Caenorhabditis elegans: one gene and its partners. The protein of the gene in region 4 interacts with the protein of the main gene of each other region in a pairwise test. Each region holds a gene or a part of one and is shown on either strand. Other genes may lie near its edges. The genes, in order: C27H5.2, golg-2, ifb-2 and lin-15B.

Region 1 (7,481 bases), on a different chromosome or scaffold from region 4:
TTATTGCGCGGTCGAAATCTGAAAACATTTTACTGTGGTGTTAGCATGAGAGAAGAAGACAGAAGACTCCATTCAAGAATGATGTTTTGCAGACAGGGCGGACCTCCAGGAGGAAGAGGAGGTTATCAAGGTATTGAATACGTAAATTGCTTTATCTTTCGTACCACAACGAGTTTATTACCAAAATTAAAAAAAAATGGGTATCCTACCGAGTTTATCATCGAAATTCAAAAACAAAAAACATTAAACGAATATAAAAATACTTGTTCCTGTGCTTTATATTATTGACAGTTGGACGAAAAAATTGTTTGTAAAAGTTTTCATATTTTCATTGCAGACAGAGGACCCCGACGTGACGGACCACCAAGTGGAGGAGGATACGGAGGCGGTGGTGCTGCTTCAGGAAACCGCGAATTCGGATCCGATGGGCGAGTTGAGTTGAAGGAGACCGTCTTTGTGCAGGGAATTTCCACCACGTATGTTTTGTAATCGCCCAATTAAAAAATGTATCTATATTTCAGTGCAAATGAAGCCTACATCGCCGACGTCTTCAGTACCTGCGGAGATATTGCAAAGAACGATCGCGGACCGAGAATCAAGATTTACACCGATCGCAACACCGGAGAACCAAAAGGAGAATGCATGATAACATTCGTCGATGCTTCTGCAGCTCAACAAGCTATAACTATGTACAATGGGCAACCATTCCCTGGCGGCTCAAGCCCGATGAGTATTTCACTAGCCAAGTTCCGCGCTGATGCAGGAGGTGAACGAGGTGGTCGTGGTGGACGAGGCGGTTTCGGAGGTGGTCGTGGTGGTCCTATGGGAGGACGTGGTGGCTTTGGCGGTGATCGTGGAGGATATGGCGGCGGCGGTGGTCGTGGAGGATTCGATGGTGGTCGCGGTGGTGGCGGTGGATTCCGTGGCGGAGACCGAGGAGGATTCCGAGGTGGTGATAGAGGAGGCTTCCGCGGAGGAGATCGTGGAGGATTCCGAGGCGGCGACCGTGGTGGCGATCGTGGAGGATTCAGAGGAGGCCGTGGAGTAGGTGGCGGAAATGCTAATATGGAACAAAGGAAGAATGACTGGCCATGTGAGCAGTGCGGAAATAGCAACTTCGCTTTCAGAAGAGTTAGTTAATTTTGTTTTTTCAAAAAAAAAACACGGGTTTTCTTCTAGGAATGCAATCAATGCCAAGCCCCGAGACCAGATGGAGGATCCGGAGGTGGTGGTGGCGAGCGACGAGGAGGACCACCAGGAGGTGACCGATACCGTCCATATTGAGCCATCAACTCGTCTCCCCATAAATTTTAACATCTAATTTAAATTCTCTGATCTCTTCAATGTGAGAGACTTGTAACAATTTTATATCCACCTTTATATTCTACTTCGATACATTCAAATTTCAATGTTCTTTTTATATTTCATTTTTTCCCACTTTTTATTTTTAACGAAAATAAAAATTTTTGCACATTAACATCTGTTTTTTTTGCAATTGTCCGCATTTCCCTACCCATCAGCTGCTTTGCGTGTCACTGTCTGTTTTCTCTCCGCACTTCATCTCTACGTCACACTATCTGCTTCTCCATCTCTTTCGTCTCGACCTCCCTTTGCCTCGGCGCCCACCTCTCATTCTTCCAATTTACCCGGGAGAGACTGTCCGTTCGAAACTTCGACCGACTAATGAGCAGTATTACAGGACTACAAGGTAAGATTCGAAGAAATCGCTATGAGAATAGATTTTTAGTAAGATTATTCTCGCATATTCAGAATAAAAATATAAAACTATCAATGAAAGTTATTTTAGATTCAGAATTAAAGTATAGTTCTTAAACTTTATGATTGATAGGCTCTACGAACATTTAATTTGAAGATAAAAACGTAGAAAGTTACATCGTAATTTAAATAGACTCTGACATGCCTTCACAAAGGCACACGGATTTATTCAGATGGGTCTTCGCGCGCAAAAAAGTTAATGGTAGTTTTTTTTAAATTAATTTTCATTATAATTTTAAATCTGATTCTGAATAACCAGTAGTTTTTATTGAAAATAAACGCAGTCGCTAAAATCCAAAAGCAGACTACCATAAACTTTTTCGCACACCAAGACCCATCTGAATATATCCGTGCGCATTAATCACAACCAAGGGTGTCAATTCCCGTTTCCCGTTTTTCCCGTTGTCCCGTTTTTGGGGTGTTTTCACGGGAACGGGAATTCCCGTTGTCCCGTTTTCGAAATTTTTACGGGACATTGACACCCTTGATCACAACAGCTGTTTGATTTTCAATAATTACATCTATGTAGTTGCACAAGTATTCAATTTTGAAAATAGTTTTTTTGTTTTTGAACTTTCCTATTGAAACTATTTGATAATGGTTAATGAACATGGGTCTCGCCACGCTGACAACGGGTTACTGTAACTCGTTAGAACTTACAGGTAGATATTACATCATATTTTTGTTTAATACAATTCCGCCACCAGTACCTCGTTTAATTTGAAAAGGTTGATACAATCTCGGTCCATAAATTAATATGAGCTACAGTAACTCGATGTCCGCGTGGCGAGACCCATGCACGTAAGATATGGCGAAAATTCTAATGTGCATAATAGGAATTCAATTTTTAATTTTTTTTGTGTGGTTTATTTTATATAAATACTCTCCTCGCTTTCAATTTCATTTTTTTAATTTTTCAAACTCAAAAAACACACATAGAAACACATAGAAACAAGAAGCTCTTTAAACATTTTCAATTCTTTTGTCCTTCTCCTCATTTTTTCTCCGGCACAATGAGCTTATTCGGTCATGTCAATGTCTGAGTCTCTATATCTTCAGTTGATATTTTGCCTATTTACCCAATGACCTACGAATCGTGTTTCGAATCAAAAACTTGAAAAAATTTGTGTTTGCCTACATTTTTTTGCCCCACACAATTTCATCTTCTTCAATACCCGTAACTACTTATATAATTTGGTTTCATATCTAATCAAACAAGTAATAAAACGGAAGGAAGATGGGAGATATTTAAAAGTAAAATAGATATGTTTGCAGTTAAATCTCTTCGAATCGGGGTGGAACCTGTTGAAGTAGAGTTAGATGAAGATGCTGGTATCTTGTGGACTTCACTTCAAACTGCATTTCCAGGTGGGTTACTGTAACGGAACACAAGAAGATAATGCATTTTAATTTGATGCATTCAGGCTTGTGTCAAACAAAAAACTTCTAGAAAAAATAGCAAGAACATTTGGATTTGGCAGTTGTAAAACATTTTTAATCAAATCATAGACAACCGAGAAGCTAATAGAAGAAAGAAGACAGTTCTTCAGTTTTTCATAATTTTTGTGACTTTTTTCAAAATAACAATCAACACGAGTACACTGTAGGTACTGTAGCCAGAAATTTCCAAATTCTTGTTGAATTTTCCTTTTTGTGAATGTTTTCATTTGACAACACACAAACTGTATCATTTTTTGATGATTCACGTGAATTTCTGCTGACAAGACAAATAGATAATAGCGGAACAGTCCGTGTTATTTTTGTTACCACACACCCCTCTGATGTAGGCATCAAACATGTCACCTCACCCATAGAATTGTTATCACTTCTCATTTCTGCTAACCTTTTTCTTGGTTTATTTCAATGTAATCAAATCGAATCAACATGTATGCAAAGTATGCGAATAATTGCAAAAGAATTGGCGCCCAAAAAGAGAGAGAGAGAGAGAGAGAGAAGAAGAAGCTTTTCTTATCTGTTACAGTCTGTGTCTTATTGATCCGTATATTTTCTCAAGGGTTTTACAGAAATTGATAGCAGCAGGAACTGGAGAGAATGAGAAAAAATGAAAATAAATAGGAAAAAAAATTACAGGATGTTCTGGGATGTACTACCGAGAAATCGGTGACTCATGCAAGAAATCAGTGAAATTTGATGGAAAAAAGTTTATGGCTCCTGGCGGAGCATGGAATGATCGAGAATACTTTGTGACTTTGAGTAAGATTTACCACAAGGACATACCGCAAACAACTTTGTTTAGGTCAAAGATGTCATACAGCTGCTGGAAATTCGGGACATACTGCTTCTTACAGCGACGCCACAAAACAATTTGAAAAAAGTGTGCAAGCAGTGCAGAAAATGATGTTGGCTTCTGGAATGAAAATAGGTGAGAAGGGTCATTCAGCACATAATTTTCATAATTTTTACCATATGAAATCAATTTATTCCTGAAATCAAACATACAAACTGCTCTTTGAGATATGAGCCATCTTACAAAGAAGCGCCAACACACTTCTTCTCGTGAAACAGCTTCATCAACTTCATCATCTACAGTAACCCCTGATCCGATTCAAGCAATTGAGGTAGGTATCCTTTATTTTGACATTTTTATTCACAAAAAGATGTTTTCACAAAATCAATTTTTTAGGAACGCTCACAAATGTTGAAAACCGCTGGAAGAGAACTAAGCCCATTGGAACAACAATTTTTGGATTTATGCCGTATTTCAACTGCGAAAGATCAGATTATTGATGCCAATCGACAGGAAATCACAAAGATGAATGAAACGTTACGAATTTTGGAAAAAAACTTGAAGGAGACCGAGACAAATTTATCTGAAGCAAATGCGATGGTTGATTGCAAACAGCAGGAATTGGAAATGGTCAGTGAAGCATTAAAACGATTGGAAGAGTCGAGGCATACTGTAAGACAAAGATTTCCAGTTTCAAATATTTATTGATAATTTTCAGATCAGCGAGTTGAACCGAAAATCTGGAAATTTGGAGGAAAATGTTACCGAGCTGCAAATGAAATTGATGAATGTAGAGGAGGAGTAAGTGGAGGTGAATAGCAAACGTTTCCATATTTCACTAGTATTTCAGAAATCACGGACTAAAAGCTCAACTTGAAACAAGTCACAATAGAATAAAAGAAATGTCTGATACTATATCAATGCTTACTTCATCAAAGGATATTTTGTCAAAAGTAAGAACAATTGTTATTCAGATTTCAATAAAATGTACCTACTTCAGGAACTGGATCAATTGAGACCATTCGCAGATGCAGCTGGAATTGAGGATTATGAGAATATCCCAACGTTTATTCACGCAATTCAGGAAAATAAGGAACTTCGGAAAACAAATGAAAATATGAAACTTCAATCAGAAGAAACAAAAGATAATCATAAACAGATGCAAAGTATTCATACAGAGGTTTTCGAGGAAAATGCTAAATTAAGGAATAGGTTAGATTGATGGAGTTATTACAAATTTTTGGAAAATTTATAATTTAGAAACGAAGATTTGGAACGAAGATTTGCACATGTTGATGATGAACTCGCTTGTGTGAATGAGAATTGGGCAAAAGAACTGAAAGAGAAACAACAAGATTGGGATAAAGTTGTAAGTTTCTACTTAAAAAATTGAATCGAAATTGGGCGGGATGAAAAAGAGACTGTTAGAAATCCATTTCTAATGTTTAATAGTTATTTTATGCCAAAGAAATTAATTAATTTCAGAAATACGCAGCAGAATCAGAAGTGTTATCTCTACGTGAACAACTTGTCCATCTTCAATCAATTCTTGAATCAGCAACCCGGGAAGCAGCAGAAAATGCTCGAAGGTCAGCTGATCCTCTGCTCGAGTATTCTCTTATCTAGATCACTCTTGCATTTTTTCTATTTTTTAATTCAGAAACGTCATCTGGGACTGGTAGATTCGTAGACTTGGTAATTGATAATTCGAATATTTTTATTATTTTTAAACCATAATCTGAAAGAAATCTTAACAGTCTCAGTTGATAAGTAACCAAAATAATTGATTGAATGCCCTGAAAATGCACAAATTTTCGTTTCCTTCCAACGTACCTGGAACGTTTTGATCCATATTCCTTTTATCTCACTTTTTCCCAAAAAATTCCGGTTTCTTCCGTTTAACGGTTTTCCTTCTCGGTTATGCTCAACCCTAATCAGTTTTCGTATTTGTAAATAGTTTTAAAATGAATAAAATTTTTGGATTCATAACCGTTTTTGTTCAATAGCAAGGAATACCGTTAAATGGGAGAATCAACTGCAATATCATTTTAAAAATCTGTTATTTTATAGGCCACTTTTCCATTCCAGCACAGTTTTTGAAAACTTTTTGTCAAAGTTTTGGCAAATTGTCTCAAAATCCTGGACTTTTTGAGAAATTTATAAGGACATTTTATAGGGCATTCTTGATTATCAAAGCTCTACTAGGTTTGAACATTAAAAAAAATATAAATAGTAGAAAAGACAGTTTTTGGTAAACTTCCAAAATTGTAGTAGCTGAAAACTATTGAAAATTTATGAATATTTTTGCAAAGTTTAATAATAGTTGTGAGATTTAATTGTTTCAAGAGTGTTAAATCTGAATAATTACAGAGTATCAGAATTGGAACATGAACGTCATGAAGTTCGACGTCTCTCCGATGCAATGCATATAAAAGCTCAGGTGAGCGGCAGTCCAGTCCATCGTCTGTCGTCTTCAATTCGCTTTTAACTAAAAAAACCCATTTGGCTTATCATTTCATTATGAATCAATTTCACAAAATCACGACACATATCTGATTATTTTAAGTTCTCAATAAATTATTTTTATTTCATGTTTTTGCTGTGAAAAGCTGATTTTATGTTTGCATGGCTTCGCTTTAAATAATTTCAAATATCTAACATATTCAATTTCCGACTATTCCAGGAAGATCTAGCCCGTCAAGTGAGAGTTTTGAAAGAAAGACTCGCAGAATCGGATAGTCAAGTTGCTGAGCTCAATGTGCTTGTTTCTTCGTTGGCAGCAGATGCCACAGCTTCACGCAGAGAAATTTCAGATCTTTTGTAAATAATTCGATGAAAATATTTGATGATAATCCGAGTGTGCTTCAGTTTCTATCTAAAAAATAACGGCGTAGATTTAGAGTATGTAATAAAGAGTTTCTTCACTGACTTGTAAAAAGTATGAACAGTTTACATATATGATTTAATTTTTATCGGTACAAAAACTATACTGATTTGGGCTAGTGCTAGGTCTAAAAATTGCTTGATAATGAGAAGTACTGTGTTTTTTCACTACAATTCTTGCTGGAAAAATTAATGTTGAATGGGAAGGACTGAAAATAGTTTTAGCAGCACAGAAGTTTGACTAAGAAAAAATTATCAATGGGAAAAACTGAGCCACCTTTCATCGTAAAATCAAATCAAAAACGAGAAAATACGTTTATATTTATGAATAAATTGAAAGTAATAAAATATATAAAGGCACGTAATTGAAAAAGGTTAACAACGGAAGCATTTAATCAATTGATTGGCATTCTATTTTGTTGAGTGTATTGAATATTTTCTTCAACAAGTTGAACTCGAAATACAAATCCATACCCTTAACGGTATCAAGGGAAAAACATCTTTCGATACATTGTTCAAAATCTTGTCCAGAATTATTTCATTATCAAACACAGCGTTAATTGGGTCAAAGTTC
Region 2 (6,027 bases), on a different chromosome or scaffold from region 4:
ACAATAAAAATTATTATTTTTATATTGAAAAATGCTTTACACGTACTTTACTGATGCAAACCATCACAGCAGGAGTTGTTTGAAATGTGATAGTGGTTTTTCCTTGAGCAATAAATTTGTCGAGAATAATTGGCGGCTTGTTGAGCTCGAATTTATTTCCAGTTTTGTCACCGGCCACGGCCACTGTTATCTGATATTGTGGAGGGGTCTGGAAATATTTTTTTGTTTTGTTACATATTAACTTATGAAAATTTAAATTACCTGTCGAAGTTTTTGCAGAATAACAAATCCTTTTTGCGATTTCGTGGGTTTTGGATTAACTCCGGCATTTGCTTTATAACGTGCAAAAACCACTTCACATGGTAATCGCATTTTTTATTGAAATCTGGAATAAGCAACTATTGGTAGTTTCTTTGTATTTGAAAAGCAAGTCTCTGAAAATCAAAATAAGTTTCTGGAAAATCAAGTTGAACCCGATAAAAGAGCACTGGGGAGAGTTACATTTTAAAGTTTTTACATTTATTCCCAAGAAGAATAATTAACGAAAAAATAAATAATAATTACCATTTGCTTACCAACTAATCGGACTTCAATAAAATTAATAGAAAATTGTCACTTATAAATATCACAAATGAACACAGGAAGTGATTGGGGGATGAAAACGATAATTTAAATAAGTCAGCGGGAGAGTCGAAATTTACAAAAAAAACGGGGACTGGAAACAATAAAGAATAATAATTAGCTAAAAGTTGTACCCACATTATAAGCTAAAAGAAAGTTTACAGTAAAGTCATTATGCACATTTTTATTCAGAGTTCTTGAAGATCTCCAATGCATTGTGTACAGTGGAGTTGTCCAGCGGGTAGAATTTGGGGTCTCTGTAAAGATATATTTGGGAACGATGAATCAAAGAATATTCTACTTACACTGATATCAGAAATAATTTCCAAAATTCGTCTAACAGATGCATCTTGGGTTTGCCCGAAAGTATCACTATTATCTTTGTCAGCAGAACAATCCGATAATCGTGGACTATTTTGAGCTTCCAACACAGTTGGTGGTGGAGTACTTGGAATCTTCTCATCATCACTATTACCATGTACTTTTTCACGCTCTGGAACTTCTTCCAATTTGGCGTCCACCAAAACATCTTCGTCTCCGCTCATTTCATCAACTGTCGAATGGCTATAGCTTCGGGAAACTCGGCGAGCTGCTTTTCGGGAGATTGAGCTTGTCTGGTATTCCTAAAAATTAGCTTGTAGGTATTACAGTTTCATAGATTAATTACCTTTAATACTCCACCTTTGTTAAGTACAGTCATTAACACATTTTGCAGTTCTTGGCATCGTGCAACAGTTTTCGTTCTGTCCTCTTCCATAGCCTTCAATTGTTCATCTTTTACACGAAGCCTTTCACGAACCAATTTTCTCTGATGCTGATAGAGAACAACGTGATCAGCAATTGTGTCATTTTCGAGTTCTAGCTGCTGGTTGATGTGCTCTAATCGATCAATTGTCTCAACGAGTTCAGCATTCTGAAGCATTGCTCGAGCGAATCGTTTCTCTAATTCTTTTCGTGCCCATAGATCTTCATGAAGCTCTCTAGAAGACTGCTGATTTTCAGCTTCTTCTGGAACCTTGGTTTCTTTCAACTCCAGCTGTTCCTGTTTGCTTTCGAGATCTTTCCGTTCTTCCTCTGCTCTTCTATCAGCTCGTTCATCTTCCAATTGTTGACGGCAATTATTAAAAGCTTCTCTGAGTGCTTCATTTTCGGCATGAAGATCCTGAACTCTGCCAACTGCTTGAGTGAGCTCAACGTGAATCGAATTCTGATTCTCATCTTCTGCATTTTGCCTCATTATTTCGTCCATTTGTTCATTATGAGTGTTACTTCGTCTCAAATCAGCACGGACCAGTTGAAGTTCATGAGTTTTCAGCTCTAAATCGGATCTGATTTCTGCATTTTCTCTTTGAAGCGTTGAGATATTTTCTTTCAATTCTTCATTGAGTTTCACGATTTCTTGAGATTCTTCACGTTGTTCTTGACTTGCAGCAGATTCTTGTGATGCTTCGAGATGAGGTTGTCGAGCGATTACTTCTGACAGATTACCAACAAGACCCGCGGTTTCTAAATTCAACTGCTTTGTCAATTCCCGTACTTGATGCTCAGCAGATTGTTTTGCAAGCTCGACATCTGCTTTTTCTTTCGTAAGAGTAACAAATCGGTCTTCCGTTTCCAAGAGACGTTCTTTAAGCTCTTTGTTTTGTGCCACTGCGCGGGATACGGTCGCTTTTTCGTTCTGTAAATTCGAAAATTTGAAAAATCAGGGAAAAATATTGAAAATTGTAAATCTACCTGTAGTTGCTCTGAAAGAGACAACAAATCAGCTCCGTTTGCAGTTGACTCTAACGTTCGTTCTTCCAAAAGTCGATATTTCATTTCAAGTTCTGCCAATGACTGTTCTCTTTCGAAAATAACTTTGTCTTTTTCTAGAATTTCTTCTTCTCTGCGTTTCTGATCATCCTCACTTCTTCGTTCCCACTTCCCTCTTTCAACGAAACACGCTTCACGAATCCGTCTTGCTACATCTTCTTCTGTGATAGTTGGAATTTCATCATGCCTCTCAGAAACATCCATATTCATTTGAAGCTTCTGCAGTTCAGATTGAGCAATTTCGAGTTGATTTTCGAGATGTTCAACTTGATCGTTTGAAGAAAATTTTTGATTATGCAAATGCTCGATTTCTAAAGCCATCTCTGCTTGCTTTTGTTGAAGTGCATACTCTCGATCAGCATAGTGAGCTTTTAATGTCGCAGATTCGACGAGAAGACGTGATTTTTCAGCTTTAACGTTCTCCAGCTCACGTTGCAAGTTTTCATAATTCGTATTCTCATTCGGAATCCCTCCCGGCGGTCCTGTGGCTCCAAGTTGTTTCAAATAAAGATCTTTCATTTGAATGTCTTTCATGAGCTGACTGATGCGATTTTCTTGAGCCGCCGTTTCTTTTATCATACTTTTCACACGTGCTTGTGCTTCACTTCTCTCGTGTTGAACATTTAGCAGGTTAGCTTGCATTGATGCAACTTCTCGTCGAGCTCCTTCTAGCTCTTGATGACGTGCAGTTAATAGGGAATCTTTTTGTGCAATTGCTTCATTGAGTTTTCGAATTTCGTTTGACGAAAGTCCAGATGATGTTGAATTGCTCATTTGGTTGGCAATGTTCTCTGCAGCAGCCAGCTTGTGTCGAAGTTTTTCGATTTGCTTGTTTGCCTGACGAAGATCACTTTGAGACGAAACTTTCTCTTCAACCATTGCAGACAATGCCTGAATACTCCATCATTAAATTAAAATAAATAAAACGAGTAATCCTTACATTTTGGAGTTGGACAATTTGATTTTCTGTATCCACATGTATTCCATTTGCATTGACTTGTGAATAAGCGGAATGAAGTTGGGAGTAATGGGCACACTAAAATGATTTTTTTTTTAATAAAATCATTATTCATATAATTAACGAATTAGTTTTTGTATTTGTCAATTTCTCATTATCCTTACCAATTCGTCATGCTGGGTCTTCAATTGTGTATATGCCTGATACCATTCGTTTCCGTTCGGTTGAAATGGTGAAGCCTGAAGAAAACATTTACTCATTTAACGATGTTATCGATTTTCTCACATCCAATCCATTTCTTGCATTCAAACTTTGTGCAGAAGAAGATGAGTGTGGAATTTGAAGCGCTGTCGAATCTTCACTGACAACGCTGCTCCGTCCATTTAAACCTGCTCCAGCACCCGGCTCTGATGAAATGATACTTGATGCAGGAGAATTACGTCCATCGAGTCTTTGACGTGCTTCAAAGTCTTTCAGCTGTAAAATTTACTCTATAAACTTTGTTTTAATAAAGTTTCCTCACGATTCTCACCTTTTTCCTGGCCGCTGCCAGCATTTCAGCTTTGGCAGGTGCAGCGGCATCGACCATATCACTGATTAATCCAGCTTTACGCCGAAAAACAGTAAAATCTATCGATTTTAAAAGCTGAAAATGAAAAAAGACGTGGAAATTAGTGGTTGGACGCAAACACCGCAATTGACGACATAGCGCAGACAACAAAGCGAGTTCGCAATGAAAGCAGCAGAAATTCACACAAAAAAGAAAAAATAATAGGTTTATGTACAAATAACTAACGAAACTTTGGAAATAAATGCTAAAAAACAACCGAGCAAATTAGAAAACTGGAGGCTTGTGATCAGATGAGACAGGCGAATCGGTTTGCCCCTTGGTGAGCCAGGCAAGAGGTTCTCGTGTGAACGTGCGGTATGCTTCTAGAATTAAGTAGTTGAAGATAACATTTTAATTGAGAATATCAACTCACTAGCCCACTTTGAATCAGGATTGATCTCATCTTGGAAGTAGGCATAAGAAAATATCAGCATGCCTACTCCAAATGCGATTAGGGAGTTCTGGAAAATACTTAATTCGTTTTTAAAATTGATTATCAAAATAGACCTCTCTAAAAGAAAGCTTCTTTCCTCCTTTAGGTAACTGATTTTCCGTGATTTCCTTCCATTCGGCCTGCCCGTCTTTTCTTCTGATTAAAACACGCAAAATCCGAGTCAATCTCATCTGGAACAAAATCTGTTTTATTTTCTGCCTTTTTATTTGTTTTAAAAATTGGAAACGAAAAGGACAAAGCGAGAAGTCAAAGTCTTCCAGTAATTTGATATTTTAGAAGGAATTGAATTGGTCATGGAATTCCGGAAGGGGACAAAATATTTTTAAACGGACATAGGAAATGGGGAATTTTATGAAGCAAAATATATGTTATATAATCGAATGTATTAAATTTGAAAAAAATGTGAAGAAAATTAATAAAAAAATACTAGGAAAAAAAATATCTTCAAAAATTTTTGATGAAAACGCGCCCCATTGGCACTTACTAGAGACACAATACGCAGGAAAACGAAATTTATGAGTACATAGAAGTGAATATTGGAAAATGTTCTTCAAAACTTTTCATGACAGTGTTAAACTGAAAATTAAAAAGAATGGTGATCATAGTAGCAACGAATTCATATGAGATATATGTAAAATATTTAAAAATGAAGGATAAATGAGGAATATATAATTCCCGAGTGTGGAGGGGTACTGTAGGAGAACATAAACAAGCCTATTATCTCTGTATACTGTAAAGCATTAGAATACACAAGCAAATTTGAAGATTATATTTTGGTTATTCGCTCAGTTTTTAAAAATATTTGGAAAAACACTGATACGAGTTTCCGAAATTTTTGAAGACCAATTGTTCAGTACCTAGAAACCTTTCGGAAAAATAATCAATGTCATTACTGTAGTTCTCTGAAAAAATGTGTTATCTGAAACTGTCACTTGCATATAAAATACGACCTTCCTCCAAATCACGCTCTGAGCACAATCGATCTTTCTACTCCAGCTGTGTACATGGACGGACATAAAGGACAGCCGTCAGTGTCACTTCCGCGCCACTTTTTTCAAATGTTTTATGCAAGTTTTTGGTTTAGTTTTGTTTCGAATTTATTCCCAATTGAATTGAATTCGTGACTGCAGAAGAAAATCGAATCGAATCTCCTTTTTAGCGACTCGGATATACCCTGAATTTTTTTTGGAGTACTGTACTATAAACTTTCTCTCCACTTCAGCAATATTTATAATATCCTATAGGAGAACGGCTACTTTCTCGGAACAAAAATATTTCTACAAAACTATTTTTTAATTTTTGCGCAAATGAATTAAGAATTCTCCTTTGGCGGCTGCGGTTATATATTAATTCCAAACTTGTATAGAAAACACACGAAGTGAGGTAAAACCTATTATTATTCAGTTTTTCACTCAAAAATACAGTCCTTGATCTTGCTACGACCGAAATATGTCCGTCGAGTACACGGTAAAGTAGTTTGCGCCTCTAAGGAGTACAGTAACCAACTATGGGTTACTGTAAGACTTATAGGCGCATACATTTTTAACAGATTCAATTTGAGAACATTTAAAT
Region 3 (5,819 bases), on a different chromosome or scaffold from region 4:
CGAAATGAAGAACACGATAAATGAAGTTTGAATGAAAGTACAAAGACTAGTCGTGAGGACTGAGCAAGATGTATGGAGTTGTAGAGAATACCAAAAGCAAAATTCTTTAAACATCCTGTTTTTTGGTATTCATACTTTGGCTAATTTTATAAAGTAATTGACCACAAAAATGAGAAAGAAGCATAAACGGAAGAATTGTATTAAAAAAACAAAACACTGTATTTCCAAAAATTTCAAAATTCCAATTCATGCTGATTAGCAGCTCGCGGACTTTAATATTTGAAAAAGAAGAGGTGTGGTTGATTTTTAGTTTTTTAAAGGTTAAATAATTAAAGCGATGTTTCGAATTATTTTGGAATTCCAATCATAGTTTCAATTCGATGCTTTTTCAATTTCGAAAATGCACAATTTTTAAGAACTTTTTAGCAAGGGTTTTATGACTCACAAAACTCTTTAATCAGAATAAAATGTTAACCAGAACACTTGAAAAGTTACGCTCCGCCGGTAGGTAGGTCTTCCTACCTACCTAGTTATATTCGTCTGCAATTTGGCACAAAATCTAGAGGTACAAGACAGCGCGTAGGTAACCTTCGAGTTTTTTGTGCCTACAAGGGAATTCGTTCACTGTTGCAAGATTCACCTATTTTGTTGTTATCAAATTATTGCGATGAACTTTTAAGGAATTACTGTAGCTGTTTTTTTGTGAAAAATAACACAGATGGTCTTTTTAAGATAAGACACCTCAAGTTCAGTAGACAACAAGAGTAAACAAAGTTTTTTCAGGAAATACTTGTAGCTTTTGAATTACAGTTTAAGAGAGAATTGAATTGATGAAGAGATTTTGATTGAACCTTCACATCTTCAAAATTCTAGAATTTTTAAAATTAAACATTTTTGAATATGACAATACAAGCGAAAATATTCTGTCAATTAAATCCAGATAAATTTGTAAATCCTTAAAAATTAAATTGAAAGGAATCTAGAAGACAAAATGTTTCAGTTCTGAAATATTCCATTGTTGCCGATTATGTTCTGTTGTAACCTTATTAACATTTCATTCGTCATAGTTTCTAGTAAAAAGTTTCAGACTTTGCGGTTCTTAACACCTTTTTTCAAATGTCAACTTCCTCATCATTCCCAGTCAAATGTCATTTTGTTTCATAAATACAAAGAATGTAAGAAAGAGTAGTTTCTTTTTTTCTTCTTTTCACCCCCTCCCCTCCGTTTTCCATCTCTAAACTCGGACTGATAAGTCACCATAAAAGAGAGTGGAATCGAGCATTGCCAACTGATAACCCTCTTTCTTTGCTCTCTCAAAATGCCATTGTAAAATCAAACCTACTACTCCGCGTTTTGTACGGTTTGGTGTTAAGACTCTTTATTTTTTTGAAGATTGAACGTTTATTATTGGTGTTGGTTTTTTAACTGCTGAAAGTGTGAAAATAACATTGTTTTCTTATTCTATTTATTTTTATCTTCTTTTGTTATTAACATCTTTTGTTTTATTTTCAAAATTTTAGCGACTTCATCATGTCGGCGGTTAGTTATTCGATGCACAGAACCACCACAACTACATCCTCCTCATCACACGGAGGTAAGCACTTTTCTTCAAATTTCCAACAGTCACACGACCTCGAGAGTTTTCTCCGAGGAATCCATAATATGGTGACACTAGTTTGTCTGAAATTGATCTCCTCCATTGTCTCAATCTTTTTCTTTGTTTCAAATCTCTTTGTCGGCTTTATTGACACCGTTGTGAACTCCTTTCACACATTGCCGACTAATCCTAGCAGTTTCTCTAGATTATGGGCTTAAGTTAAAATAACTGATGTTTAAATAAAACCATAAGTTTCGACAAATTAAACTCGATCTTAACTTTTAATTCACGATATCAATAAAGAATTGAGACGAGAACTGCAGCGTAGGGACAAACTGCAAAATGGCCTGTTCCTAGATGGTAGCATATAATACTTTTCAGTGAAAAATCAGATTGTTTATGACAAGATAGATCACTCTTATAAGTAGGAATTTTCTGATTGCTAGCCCAAATTGTGAAAAAAAAAGAATAAATATGCCACATTTAACCAATTTACTCTGCTCCTGCTTTGCATTACTTTGACAAATCATATCTCGATTGTTATTATTTCATCAAATAATTTTCAACACTAAAATCACTCTACATTGTTATAATTAAACAATTTTGATGAAGCCTACAACAATTAATATGAGCTGTCAAAATGAAGCAGTGGGAGTGCAAGACTAATAGGAAAAACGGTATATAACACGGAAAATTGTATATCTTAAATCTCAAAGTACAACATTAGCTGTAACTAACTCTATTTTTTAAAATTTCTATTTTAATATTGTGAAAAAATTTGGAAAACAGAGGTTTATTCAGACTTTTGTTTTACATATTCGTACTAAATTAATTTTTAAAAAATGAGTTTGTATTGCTTTTTCCAAACCCTTCACAATAAGACACTTTCACAAAATTTAGTTTATAACAATAAAAAATATGGTCCTTCTTGGAGCACTGCTTAAACATCGGAACACAGTTTACATAATATTTCAGGTGTCTCAGCCGGCCATGCCGCTGAGGAGTTCGTTGCCTCTGCCGAGCGCGAGAAGCAAGAGATGCAGCAGTTGAACTCTCGCCTTGAAGTTTACATCAGCCGTGTCCGTCAACTTGAGGATCGTAACAAGGAGCTTGTGATTGAATTGGACACCCTCCGAGGATCACTTGGAAATGACATCGGACAGATCAAGGTTTGTGCCCCGAAATTACAGGAGAATCTGAAACACTTTTAGTTGTTGACACAATTTCTCTCTTATCAGATAATATCAATTCTTCTCAAACAAAGCGCCCGTTGCCAAATGTGCAGGCGTAAGGAATTTAAAAGAGAAACTGAAAATGGCACTGATAAGATGACAAGTAGTGCTCTGGAGGAAATGGGTGTGTATGTGTGTGTTAAGATTGCCAATAAAATTAATTGAAATTGATCTTGAGGGGTTAATAATGTTGCATCAGAATAATAAACTCAACGTTTTGTAGTTCAAATTCAACGATTCGTTGGTCAAAGTTCGCCGTGAGATCTCAGAAGCTCATTCTGGAACTATTGGAGTTGAAGTTAAGGTCGACAGATTGAGAGATGATTTGAATGACTACAGACACAGGTAACAATTTATTTGCATATTCCATTCTAATGGCAAATATTTCAGATATGAAGAGGCCCGTCGTGAAGTTGAGCGTGAGAAGACCACTTGGGGAGGAGCTATTTCACAAGCACAAGCTGAGCTTGACACAAACAAGTCCCGCTATGCCGCCATTTTGGACGAGGAAAAGAGACTTTATGCTGAACAAGATCAACTCTATCTTCAATTGGCTGCCGCCAAGGATGAGCTTGACGCCGCAATTGTTGATCGCCGCCGCCTTCAAGCTGAGGAAGATGACCTCAAGATTGAGCTGGAATTCTTGGGAAGAATCCACTCTCAAGAAATCACTGAGCTTCGCACTCTTCTTGCTCAAGCTCCAGCCGACACAAGAGAGTTCTTCAAGAATGAATTGGCTCTTGCTATCAGGTTGGATTCAAAAAAAATGATATAGTTTTATTGTCTAATTTAAATTATTTCAGAGAAATCAAGGCTGAATACGACAAGATCATCCAAACCACCAGAGTTGATCTTGAGACAATCTTCCAGAGCAAGATTAGCGCCGTCGAATCATCAATCGTCTCCAAGAACGAGGCTGCCGTTTTCCGTCAAGAGGAGATCAGAAAGATGAACGAGAGCATCACCACATTGCGAGCCAAGCTCAGCGAGCTCGAAGCCCGTAACTCTGCTTTGGAGAGAGAAGCCAACACACTCCAGATTCAACTCGGAGAAGATCAAAGAGCTTACGAATCAGAGCTTCACAAGAGAGACAATGCCCTCCGATTTATGCGTGAAGACTGCCAGACTTTGATTGCTGAACTTCAAGCTCTTCTTAACACCAAACAAACTTTGGATACTGAGATTGCCATCTACAGAAAGCTTGTCGAGTCCGAGGAAGGAAGGTAATATAAGTAACAAAAATATCTCTCAAAAAGAGCAACATATACTTTAATTGATTGTCTCATTCTTCCATTTTATCATTTCCTTACTTTCACAGATTCACTCATGTTGGACAGGGGGTCGTTGTCGCCCAGCAGGAGACTACAAGGTTCGGTAGCTATAACCGCTTCATAGACATTAACATACTGCACACGTAGATATTTAGAATCTAGTTTTATTTCCTAGTTGACTTCCAGAACAGAAGGGGATTCCACTCCCGTTGTTTTAAATGATCAGCAATACTCTGACAGTCATCAATATCAGCAATATCCTGAGTAGGAATCTTTAATAGAATCAAGATATATTATATGTAATACCTTTCAGAGTGTATCCGCAAGGAACTTTAAGGTATCCTAGATTGTAGATTAGTTATTCATAGTATAGTTTTCATAGATCATCTCAACATCAAATTGGCAGAGGTACCAATGTACTAGTTTCAGATCAAAGGTTACTCGTAGTGATACAGTAGTTTATAGCTAATTGCTTTCACAATTCATGCTCTTTCACTTGCACTTTTTCTCTTTTTCACGCACTTCCTTATCTCAACACACTGCTTACTTTTCACATCACCTATTTATCATTTTCTTGGCTAACAATTTTTGTTAGTCAGCAAATCTCAAGGCTTTTAGCTGAAAACATGCACTTTCAGCTTAATCTATCCCCGTTAATTTTAAATTGTTATATTAAATTCTACAGATTGGTACCAGTCGAGCAAGATCACTGGGACTCTGGAGAGGTTCAAACTCGTTCCTCATTCAAGAGACACGCTAAGGGAAATGTGAGCATCGTTGAGTGCGATCCACAAGGAAAGTACATCATTCTTGAAAACACCAGTGGATCAGTTGTGAGTTTAGATCTTTATTTTTATTTTGAACATGAAAAATTGGAAAATTGCAGGCCGAAGATGTAAGCAACTTTGAAATCCGTCGTGTTATTGATGGAGTTCAAGCCTTCGTTTTCCGTCTCCCATCTCACTTAGTTATTCAACAACACGGACATCTTAAGGTATTAATTATTATAAAATTAGATATCATATTGAAACCGGAATATTACAGATCTACGGACGCAATTCAGGAGGAATTAACTCACCACCAGACTCAATTGTGATGGAATCTCACCCATCATGGGGACAAGGAGGACAAGTTGAAACATTCTTGTACAATAGTCACGGAATTGAGAAGGCTTCGCACATCCAGACGACGGTCGCTTCTTCCCGTTAAGAAATCTCCATCATCTAATCGATTTCTTTTTCGATGAATTTAAATTTATTCTGAAATGCCCATTGAATCCTTTCCTTGCTGTCTTCACTCCCAAAATCATTCGACGTACATACTTGCTACATTCCAATCCAATTGTTTTTTGAAATAAATTGTTCAATATTGTTTTAGTTCAAAATCATTGATGATTAAAAGAAGTGTACTTATCACGATACTTCCCAAAAAAAATTTCTTGGTCAAAAGTGGGTCACGATAACTCGGTCTAAAACCATTTCTAAAAAAAATTTTTTTCGCTTTTTTTTTCGACAATTGTTTTAAGCCATTTAGTTATGGTTTTCGAAGGTTTTTTATAATAGTAATAATAATTAAAATTAGGAGTGGTTTTGAACCGAGTTGTCGTGACTCGCTCTTGACTGAGACTACATTAAAATACATTCTACAGAATTTTTGGAAATGATTGAACACGTTGCAAGCTGTACATATATTTTTCAGCACTAAGGGAAAATGCAATCC
Region 4 (7,786 bases):
AATTTAGAAAAAAGATAAAGAAGAATCTAAATACATTTCTGAAAAAATTTAAATCGAAACCACAACTCCATCAATGAATATTTCTTAAATTAAATGAAATATTGGGACGCTTTTTGCGCCGCCTGCAAAAAAGAATAGTATTGCTTATGTAGTTTGTGTTTGAATAAACTCAAAATTGCTCAAAAACAAAAATTCACACTACATTCTCTTTGAAAAAAGTTCCAAAAATTTCCTACTGCAGTTCAAAACTTGAAAAAGAGTTCACTTTTCTAAAGTCTTGAATTTCGTCGGTTTTATATCCCAGTTCACCCAAATCTCAATGTAAAAAAATGTTTTGACTTCAAGTCGTTGCAGAACATATAACTTGAAAAAACTGGAAATGTTAAGCTATATAAATGAAGCTTTTTGTTTAATTTTGAACCATGAGAAAATGGTTCAGAATTTCTTGAAAAACTTCACTATGCCATTTTCAATTTCAAGCAAAAAAAAAAATCAGAACCATTATTTTTCCTAAAACAAAATTGTATTTTTTTTTCGGCTTCACAACGAATAATTCTTCTTCACTAGGTTTAGGAAAAAAAGTCAAAAATCTTTGTGTCTCATATACTTGATACTCAATTATCCTGTCATTTAGAATTTTTTGTGAATATTTTCAAAAAATTTCGAATATTTCCAAGTTCCCACCCTGTGACACAATTTCCCGTCCACTTTCCCGTCCACTATTCCTGCCATCTATCTCCGTTTCTACTTTCCTCATTTTTCGTCTGCCAGTGTCCCAAGTCCGCAATATGTCGTCAAATGTTGGGTTGCGCGCGAAAAAGAGCGCGCGGAATCGAGAGAGAGGAGAGGACGAGGGGGGAAAGTGTGCATGACTTTCTTTCTCATTTCAAATGCGCGATGGCACGGCCGACCGTTTTCTTTCGTCCTTCACAGTTTTCATCTTTTCAAATATCTTTCTTGCTGGGTTTTTTGTTTCCTGTGCCTAATTTTTGAAAGTTCACGAGAAACGAGGGCCACTTTTTAGGACTTTTTTAGAAAAATCACGCAAGGTTTTTGGATTTTTTTGTACGGAAGTACCTTCTTTCTTTTCAAAATTTTCCTTTACTCACAATGGTCATTTTACATTATGAAAACAAATTAACCTTTTTTTAAATATCGTCGCTGCCATAAAATCTAATAATCCGCTGCACGTTTCTAAATAAAAATCAAATTTTGTCTAGAACACTATCTCCTCTCCATTGTCTATTTTCTCCTGCCCACCTGCCATAGTCTCGAACCACATTGCAAGGTTCCATTATTCCAGTCTCCCCCCCATCCTTCTCTGAAATCGATAAGCGTCCCGTTTGCCACAACGCGCGCGCTTGGCCCGCAACACCGCGCGTTGCGGTCGTGTTGCGTGTCGCCTCCCCGCCGCACATTCAAATGGTTCACTTGCCTCACGCTCTCTACTCTCTCGTTCCCGCATTGTATTTCCTCTCGCACGCAGATTTGAAAATTTATAATAAACGCACAAAATTATGTGCTTTTTTCGTTGAATTCGAGTGAACATTTTGAAGTTTTCAGTCAAGTAAAAGTTGTAGAATTCAAATATTCACCGTTTTTTTTTCGGTTAACTTTTATTTTCAAATAATAATGACTTTTTAACCATTCTATCATCTTGTTCTTAGCGTATTGTATCCTACCGTACTTCCTGATTAAACTTGTTGTCTTTCTACACGTATTACCTTGCATGATGACCGAATAATTTATTATTTTTTTTATATTTTCAGGTAATTATGCAAACGCTAAAAACAGCACGACTTACATCAAACCCGGCATCAATTCCGACTTCCAGCAGTAGCAGTGCAATGTACGTTTATTCTTGATTGATAATTTTCTATTCCAAATGCATTCCAACCACATTCAACAAAACATATTTTTTCAGAAGCGCAGCAGCAATTCAAAAGACGCTTGATGCCGTGAATCGCCCACCAGCAGTCAGAGCAAGTGGAATTCTACGTCACCGTACCCTGCCAGCTCCAACACAGGAGACTGCCCACCATCTTGATGCGGACCCAAAGACAACTGAGCTCATGGCTCGCTTCTTCATCAGCCAAGGAATTCCGTTCGAATGTGCACATGAGCCAGCTTTCCTGGAGCTTATGAAACACGTGGATCCGAACTGTGTGATTCCACCTACAAATGTAACGAAAAAACTTGTGGACAAAATCAGCACATCATCTAAACCGCAAGTCAATTACACAAAGACTGTTGGGCCACTCAGTGTTACCATCGACATTTGTGGAGATGAGGACGAAAAGTATCTGGCGTTTTCGATTCATTACTTTGAGGATTTGTACGAGCGCAAAAATGCGATTTATCTGCGGAAATTGCTACTTACCGAGTAAGTTTTTTGGAAGGAAATTTTTAGTTTGAAAATCACAACATCAATGAAACAAATGTAGTTGTGAAATTTGGGTATAGTTGAAATTGTTGTGCCAAAACAATCAAATATCACACTAAGACTTTTCGAAAAATATTTGAAAAGTGGAAATTAGATCATCAAACTGGAAGTTTTTTTTTGTTTTTAATCGGCGATTTCCAAAATCTAAAACTGAGCTTTTTCTCCAATTTCAAAAAATGTATAAAATTTGAAAATTTTATTGGAATTTTTTAGCTCTGATATTTAGTCCTTGTGGTGCCACAAGCATGTTTTAAAACCGGCAACCAAGTTGCCAGTTGCCGAAAATTTCTGCGTTTGGCAACTTCGGCAATTGTCGATTGCCGAAATTTTTTAGGTTGGGCAACTTCGGCAATTGCCGGTTGCCGAAAAACTTTGGGTTCTGGAACTTCGGCAATTGCCGAACGTTTTTTCGGCACTTCGGCAATTGCCGATATCAATGTCAAACATTTTGTAGCACAGAAAAAAAAACATTCGAGAACCTGAAAAATGCTAAAATTTCCCTGTAAACGAAAAAAAACGACTATAATTTTTTTTCAAAACGCTCAAAAATATAATTCCAATAAAAGAAAACTTTGAAACCTGGTTGCCGGTTGCCCAAAAATTACTGAATTACTGAAAATTACGGCAACCAAAAGTTGCCGGTTGCCGAAATTTTTAGAGTTCGGCAACTTCGGCTATTGCCGGTACGTGATCACTGTTTACTATTCCCAAATTTAAAGTTGTTTTCGAAAAAATGGCAACGTAAAATTAAAAATATTTGCAATAATTTCAGGCTAGACAGCAACAGTCTCCTCACAAACATTCGTCGTTCCGTCAACAGCTACAGCTTCTCAAATGTCAAGTTTACGAACATTGTGTGTCCAAACGAAGAGATTTGCAAGCTGGTTGAAGAGAGTGCAGTTGTCAAACGATACAACGTTTGCTTCTACAACTACGTTACCCGTTTTGTGGCCGATTTGATGGAAATTGAAGAGTTTTCCAGTGGGCTGACACAATTGCGAACATTTGTTCGTTATATGAAACAAAATTCGGATATGTATAGCAAATTTAGAAGGTAAATTTAGCGTTTTTAACCTTTATATAAAACCCACAAATTTCAGAATGCAATTGCAAAAGAATGCGGAACTCGACATTCCGAGTATTGACTCTGGCGACTGGCATTCCACTGCGATTTTCCTCACAAGATGTCTTGTTTGGGTGAGTTTTTATTTTCAATTCCTAACAATCATAAACTCTCAATATTTTTCAGCACGACACGTTTACCGAGTTCTGTGGAAAATTAGACATCCTCCACTACATTGACAATGAAACATTCAACCACCTTATATACCTCCAGCGCCTTCTTCAACAATGCATGAAACATTGTCGAGAGCTCAGCATACCGAACAATTCGATTTCTCAAGTTGTGCCAGCCATCATGTCAATTCGCAACTTTATTGCATCGAACTCAATGGGATATCGTTTCCAAAAAAGAATCCGCGATTCGTTTACTACTTCATTCAAAGAGATTACTTCAGGACCATCACAGGATCGATACGATATTGCTACTCTTTTGGATCCACGTTTTGCCTACAGAGATACGGTTTATACAGCACAAACCTGGAGATCGCTCGAGAAAAAAGTCATCGACGACTTTGTAAACTCTGATCTGCAAAATGACAAAAACTTTTATCAAGATATTTCGATCCTGAATCAAGAACAGCGCTATGATATTATTAAAAAGGAGTTTGCTTATTATCGTCAAACTTCATTTGTCGAGCGGCCCGAAGAGAATGAGAATTCGAATCATTGGTGGGGAATGCGTCAGACGGATATGGAATTCTTGGCGGTGATTGCTCGTGAATACTTGGCAAGTCCTGCAGTTTCTATAGACGCTGGGTACTACTTTGGGAACGGTGGAAAATTCCAACACATCTGCCACACCTACTCTCATCAACGCCTCGAGAACTGCTTGGCACTTGCTGGAAACTATCAAACATTTCGTGGAAAAGGAGCATCGGTGGATGTCATTTCTCAATCAATGATTGAGACTTTAAATAACACTGCAAGTCGTCTTCAGAAGCAGGTTCACCTTGGTCTTTATGCACACGGAGTTGACAACATCTCTTCTGATCGAGATGTGCAATCCATTGTCGGCCATCACTACCCTCCGATGCCAACAGTTGCAAACTATGACATTCCACACGTGCCGAAAGAAGAAGAGAAGCCTCCAGTGGCTAACCTGCAAAGTACATCTAGCCCAGCGACGTCCTCTCCAACAATCATCCGCCCTCGTGCAGCACCTCCACCGAGAACACTGGCTCAAGGAAGACCAATCCCGTTGAATGGGAAAGAACTCAAGGCTGTTCCAATCAGGCAGATTCCGCTGCAAGTGAGGCCGTTGCCACCGAGACCAGCCAATGTGCCAATTGTGCCAAGGCCAACTGTTCCACAACAGTTTATCAAAGCACCAGCTCCGAAACCTATCACACTTCAAGCTGTTGTTTGCAGTATTCCAGAAAAGGAAATCAAGAAAGAAACTGAAGACGTAGCGCTGCTGGAGAAAATAAAGGATGAACCACTGGATGAAGACGATTTTAATCATCCTTCAACTGATCCGGTGCCAAACCGAACGACTGCTTCTTCACAAGGACCATCTTCGTATCCACGGAAAATTGTAGTACTGGCCTCAAAACTACCCACGTCGCAAAGCTCATCACCATCAACTGCAACTTCTGCACAAGCTAGATCCCATGTTACCACTGCGCAACTGATCCGATGTGGGCCAAGTGAAGGCACCGTTCCACAAAAAATTCATTCACACAACTTTGTGCAGAAGTTTGCTCAAAAGCAAAATTTTGTTCACAAGTATGCACTGAACTCACAAGACCACACAGGCAGGCTCAACCAAACTGTACCCATGAGAGCTGCGCTGAGGCTTCCAAACAGCGAACAAAAGTCAGGAGCACCTTCTTCGATCAATGGAAAAGTACAGAGGGATGACTTCAAATTGGAACCACTGGACGATTTCAACGGAGAACCCGACTATGACAATTTAATTGGGGCTCAACGGCTTATGTACAGTGATAATCTCAATGACGCATCGGCAGAAGATGCGTTTGCAAGGTAACCTATATTTTTTTCTGAACCTCAGTTTCATTTCCAATTTTCAGGCATCGTGTGACTATGGAATTCCAGAAGCGCAGAGCTTGCAACCGTCGCTGTGCAGTATGTGGTCACTTGGAAATCCACGAGCGTCTGAAGAATGTGACGATTGAAAATGAAAAGCTGTTGATTATGTTGGGCTGTATTTATCGCGGAGAATTTACTCTAGGACAGGCACAGCTTTTCATGGCGCGTGAGAGCAAAACGTACATTTGCCGTCTCCATTTCCTGGAGACCCTCGACGAGATCTACCAGATGCTACGTCTGAAATCTGCCGATGATATTCTGATTTGCCCATTGGACTTGATTCAGAACGCATTGATCACTGTTTCCGCCCTCCGTCCACACATTATTGCTTCACAACTTCGAAAGATTCTTCACGATTTTGCCGAAAGAAATAATCATCTTCGTGAAACGCCAGCGGTAAGTTTCCGTTTTTAAAATTGCACATTTTGAAACAAATTAATTGTTTTTAGGAATTGAAGAAACTTGGACAACAATACTTTGACTACCGCGAGCCCGAACCTGAGCCAGAGAGAAACGATGTGGATGAGCAAGAAATCATACCGAAACTCTTTCGCCAGCCACGCAAGCAAGTTCTGGAAGCTGATCAGCATGACGGAACTGTCAAGGTTATAGAGCAGGAAGATTTCAAGCTCCCAACTGTCAAACCGTCTGAAAATGAGGAATGCGACAATCCGGGCGTTTGCTGCTTCTGTTCGAAACGTGGCGACCGAGGTGGAATGCTTCGTGTCCCGAGAAGTGAGGAACGTTTGGCTAGATGGGTGGATAAGCTTGGACCAGAATTTGAAGCCCGACTTCACACCAATACGGAAAACCTAATTTGCCGAAGCCATTTCCCAGATGCAGCGTTCAGCAGTCGTGGTAGACTTTTGAAAGGAATGATTCCAGATGCTGCTCCAGAAAAAGTTGAGACCACGTATATCATTCAAGGGAACAACTTCCTCAAACTCAAAGAGCGCAAGTCTGGAACTGATAAGAATTCAGCCATTGATTTGGCGAATATGTTAAACCCCGACGGTGTTGAATATACTCAGGAAGAAGAAGAAGAAGAGGAATATGAAGAAATGTCAAGATCCCCAACGGAAGAGACTTCAGACGACGAGCCCAGTCAAGCAGCAGTTTACAACAATGCTCCAGTGATAAAACGTACCTATAGAAAGCGGGAGTTGTCAAACGAGGATGGACCTCTTAACTTGGTAACACCACCTGCTCATACTCCGAACCCAAGAGGGCGCCCAAGGAAGTATCCCAAGAATAGTGTAACACCAGAAGCTGAAAAAAGCCTCACCGACTACGACTACAATCCGGGAACATCTCAACGACGTGCACTTAAGAAAGGTTACGTACAACTCGAAGACGGAGAAATTGTCGGCGAAGATTGCGAATACGTGCCTGAAAAAACACCAAGTGGAAGATTGATTCGACAAGCTGTTGCTAGACGAAGCTTTGCTTTTGCTGATGAGGAAGAGGAGGAGGAAGAGTATGAAGAATCTCCAATTGTTAAAAAGCCCAAGATTGCTGGAAGAGTGAGTTTTTGAAAAATATATGCTTTGAATTATTTTTATATTTTTTCAGCCAGTCGGACGACCGCGCAAAGATGCTAATAAGCTGCCAACCCCCACACCACCCAGCAACGAATAAGTGGAAATATTTTCATCCACCGTTCCTGATTGTTGTTTTTATATATAATTTTTTCTCCATTGATGTTTTTGATGATTAAGTCATACGCATAGTTTTACCCTGTTACTTTGATTGCCCTTAAAATTACCACTTTTATTTTACCTATTTATTTTAATCATCATTCATCTGAAACCTCACAATGATGAGATGATCTCATCATTTTTATATTTTGTAGTTTTATATCAGTTTTATAAATGTTCACCGAAATTTGATGCCAACTGGTTTTTTTCTAATTCTTTCCAAATGGTTTCACATCACCAAATGACAATTTTCCTTTACTTTCCTATCTTGCTTATCATACACTATCACTTATTCAGATTCCTAATGTTGGCTCCAGCGGCTCCAGCTAAAGATGTTGTCTCGGCAGATGAAAAAGAAGAAATCATTGCGAAAAGAAAATTTCGAATGAAAAACGTTGATGCTATGCGAATGTCAAGCTTGGCGAACGATCGGATGGCTTTCAACAAGAAATGCAATGCCCTAGCGATGAAGTTT

Evidence for each region.
Region 1: the proteins of lin-15B (region 4) and C27H5.2 interact in a two-hybrid assay, tested with the Caenorhabditis elegans proteins (one large-scale study listed by BioGRID).
Region 2: the proteins of lin-15B (region 4) and golg-2 interact in a two-hybrid assay, tested with the Caenorhabditis elegans proteins (one large-scale study listed by BioGRID).
Region 3: the proteins of lin-15B (region 4) and ifb-2 interact in a two-hybrid assay, tested with the Caenorhabditis elegans proteins (one large-scale study listed by BioGRID).

What each region holds. Positions count from the first base shown.
Region 1 is NC_003280.10:7,154,000-7,161,480, forward strand, and holds C27H5.2 (TAR DNA-binding protein 43 N-terminal domain-containing protein), read left to right. Parts: upstream 1-1,581; 5' UTR 1,582-1,683; coding exon 1,684-1,708; intron 1,709-3,051; coding exon 3,052-3,144; intron 3,145-3,867; coding exon 3,868-3,990; intron 3,991-4,033; coding exon 4,034-4,159; intron 4,160-4,251; coding exon 4,252-4,355; intron 4,356-4,420; coding exon 4,421-4,696; intron 4,697-4,742; coding exon 4,743-4,825; intron 4,826-4,874; coding exon 4,875-4,977; intron 4,978-5,024; coding exon 5,025-5,236; intron 5,237-5,284; coding exon 5,285-5,393; intron 5,394-5,509; coding exon 5,510-5,613; coding exon of another isoform or gene 5,614-5,650; exon of another isoform or gene 5,651-5,684; coding exon of another isoform or gene 5,685-5,706; exon of another isoform or gene 5,707-6,010; intron 6,011-6,394; coding exon 6,395-6,464; coding exon of another isoform or gene 6,465-6,512; exon of another isoform or gene 6,513-6,615; intron 6,616-6,707; coding exon 6,708-6,848; 3' UTR 6,849-6,962; downstream 6,963-7,481. Other genes in the region: fust-1 (RNA-binding protein FUS), read left to right, coding at 93-130, 338-476, 522-1,131, 1,180-1,284; C27H5.12 (Ferrochelatase), read right to left, coding at 7,349-7,480.
Region 2 is NC_003280.10:5,036,055-5,042,081, forward strand, and holds golg-2 (Golgin subfamily A conserved domain-containing protein), read right to left. Parts: upstream 4,038-6,027; 5' UTR 3,981-4,037; coding exon 3,924-3,980; intron 3,869-3,923; coding exon 3,677-3,868; intron 3,631-3,676; coding exon 3,556-3,630; intron 3,470-3,555; coding exon 3,374-3,469; intron 3,325-3,373; coding exon 2,356-3,324; intron 2,300-2,355; coding exon 1,289-2,299; intron 1,245-1,288; coding exon 927-1,244; intron 879-926; coding exon 810-878; 3' UTR 504-809; downstream 1-503. Other genes in the region: lrr-1 (PIF1/LRR1 pleckstrin homology domain-containing protein), read right to left, coding at 47-208, 262-372; F33G12.7 (uncharacterized protein), read right to left, coding at 4,227-4,324, 4,375-4,462, 4,509-4,625.
Region 3 is NC_003280.10:5,748,670-5,754,488, forward strand, and holds ifb-2 (Intermediate filament protein ifb-2), read left to right. Parts: upstream 1-1,530; coding exon 1,531-1,594; intron 1,595-2,572; coding exon 2,573-2,766; intron 2,767-3,052; coding exon 3,053-3,174; intron 3,175-3,219; coding exon 3,220-3,579; intron 3,580-3,632; coding exon 3,633-4,052; intron 4,053-4,147; coding exon 4,148-4,198; intron 4,199-4,286; coding exon 4,287-4,364; intron 4,365-4,413; coding exon 4,414-4,437; intron 4,438-4,785; coding exon 4,786-4,933; intron 4,934-4,986; coding exon 4,987-5,094; intron 5,095-5,144; coding exon 5,145-5,309; downstream 5,310-5,819. Other genes in the region: F10C1.8 (LTD domain-containing protein), read left to right, coding at 5,811-5,819. UniProt on the Caenorhabditis elegans protein: Cytoplasmic intermediate filaments provide mechanical strength to cells. Not essential protein.
Region 4 is NC_003284.9:15,724,360-15,732,145, forward strand, and holds lin-15B (Protein lin-15B), read left to right. Parts: upstream 1-1,769; 5' UTR 1,770-1,775; coding exon 1,776-1,849; intron 1,850-1,924; coding exon 1,925-2,383; intron 2,384-3,215; coding exon 3,216-3,497; intron 3,498-3,543; coding exon 3,544-3,640; intron 3,641-3,692; coding exon 3,693-5,548; intron 5,549-5,595; coding exon 5,596-6,010; intron 6,011-6,063; coding exon 6,064-7,137; intron 7,138-7,186; coding exon 7,187-7,252; 3' UTR 7,253-7,502; downstream 7,503-7,786. Other genes in the region: Protein lin-15A, read left to right, coding at 7,616-7,786. UniProt on the Caenorhabditis elegans protein: Synthetic multivulva (synMuv) class B protein. SynMuv proteins are required to repress the induction of vulval development. Acts redundantly with SynMuv class A protein lin-15A to negatively regulate vulval development. Regulates let-23 basal activity.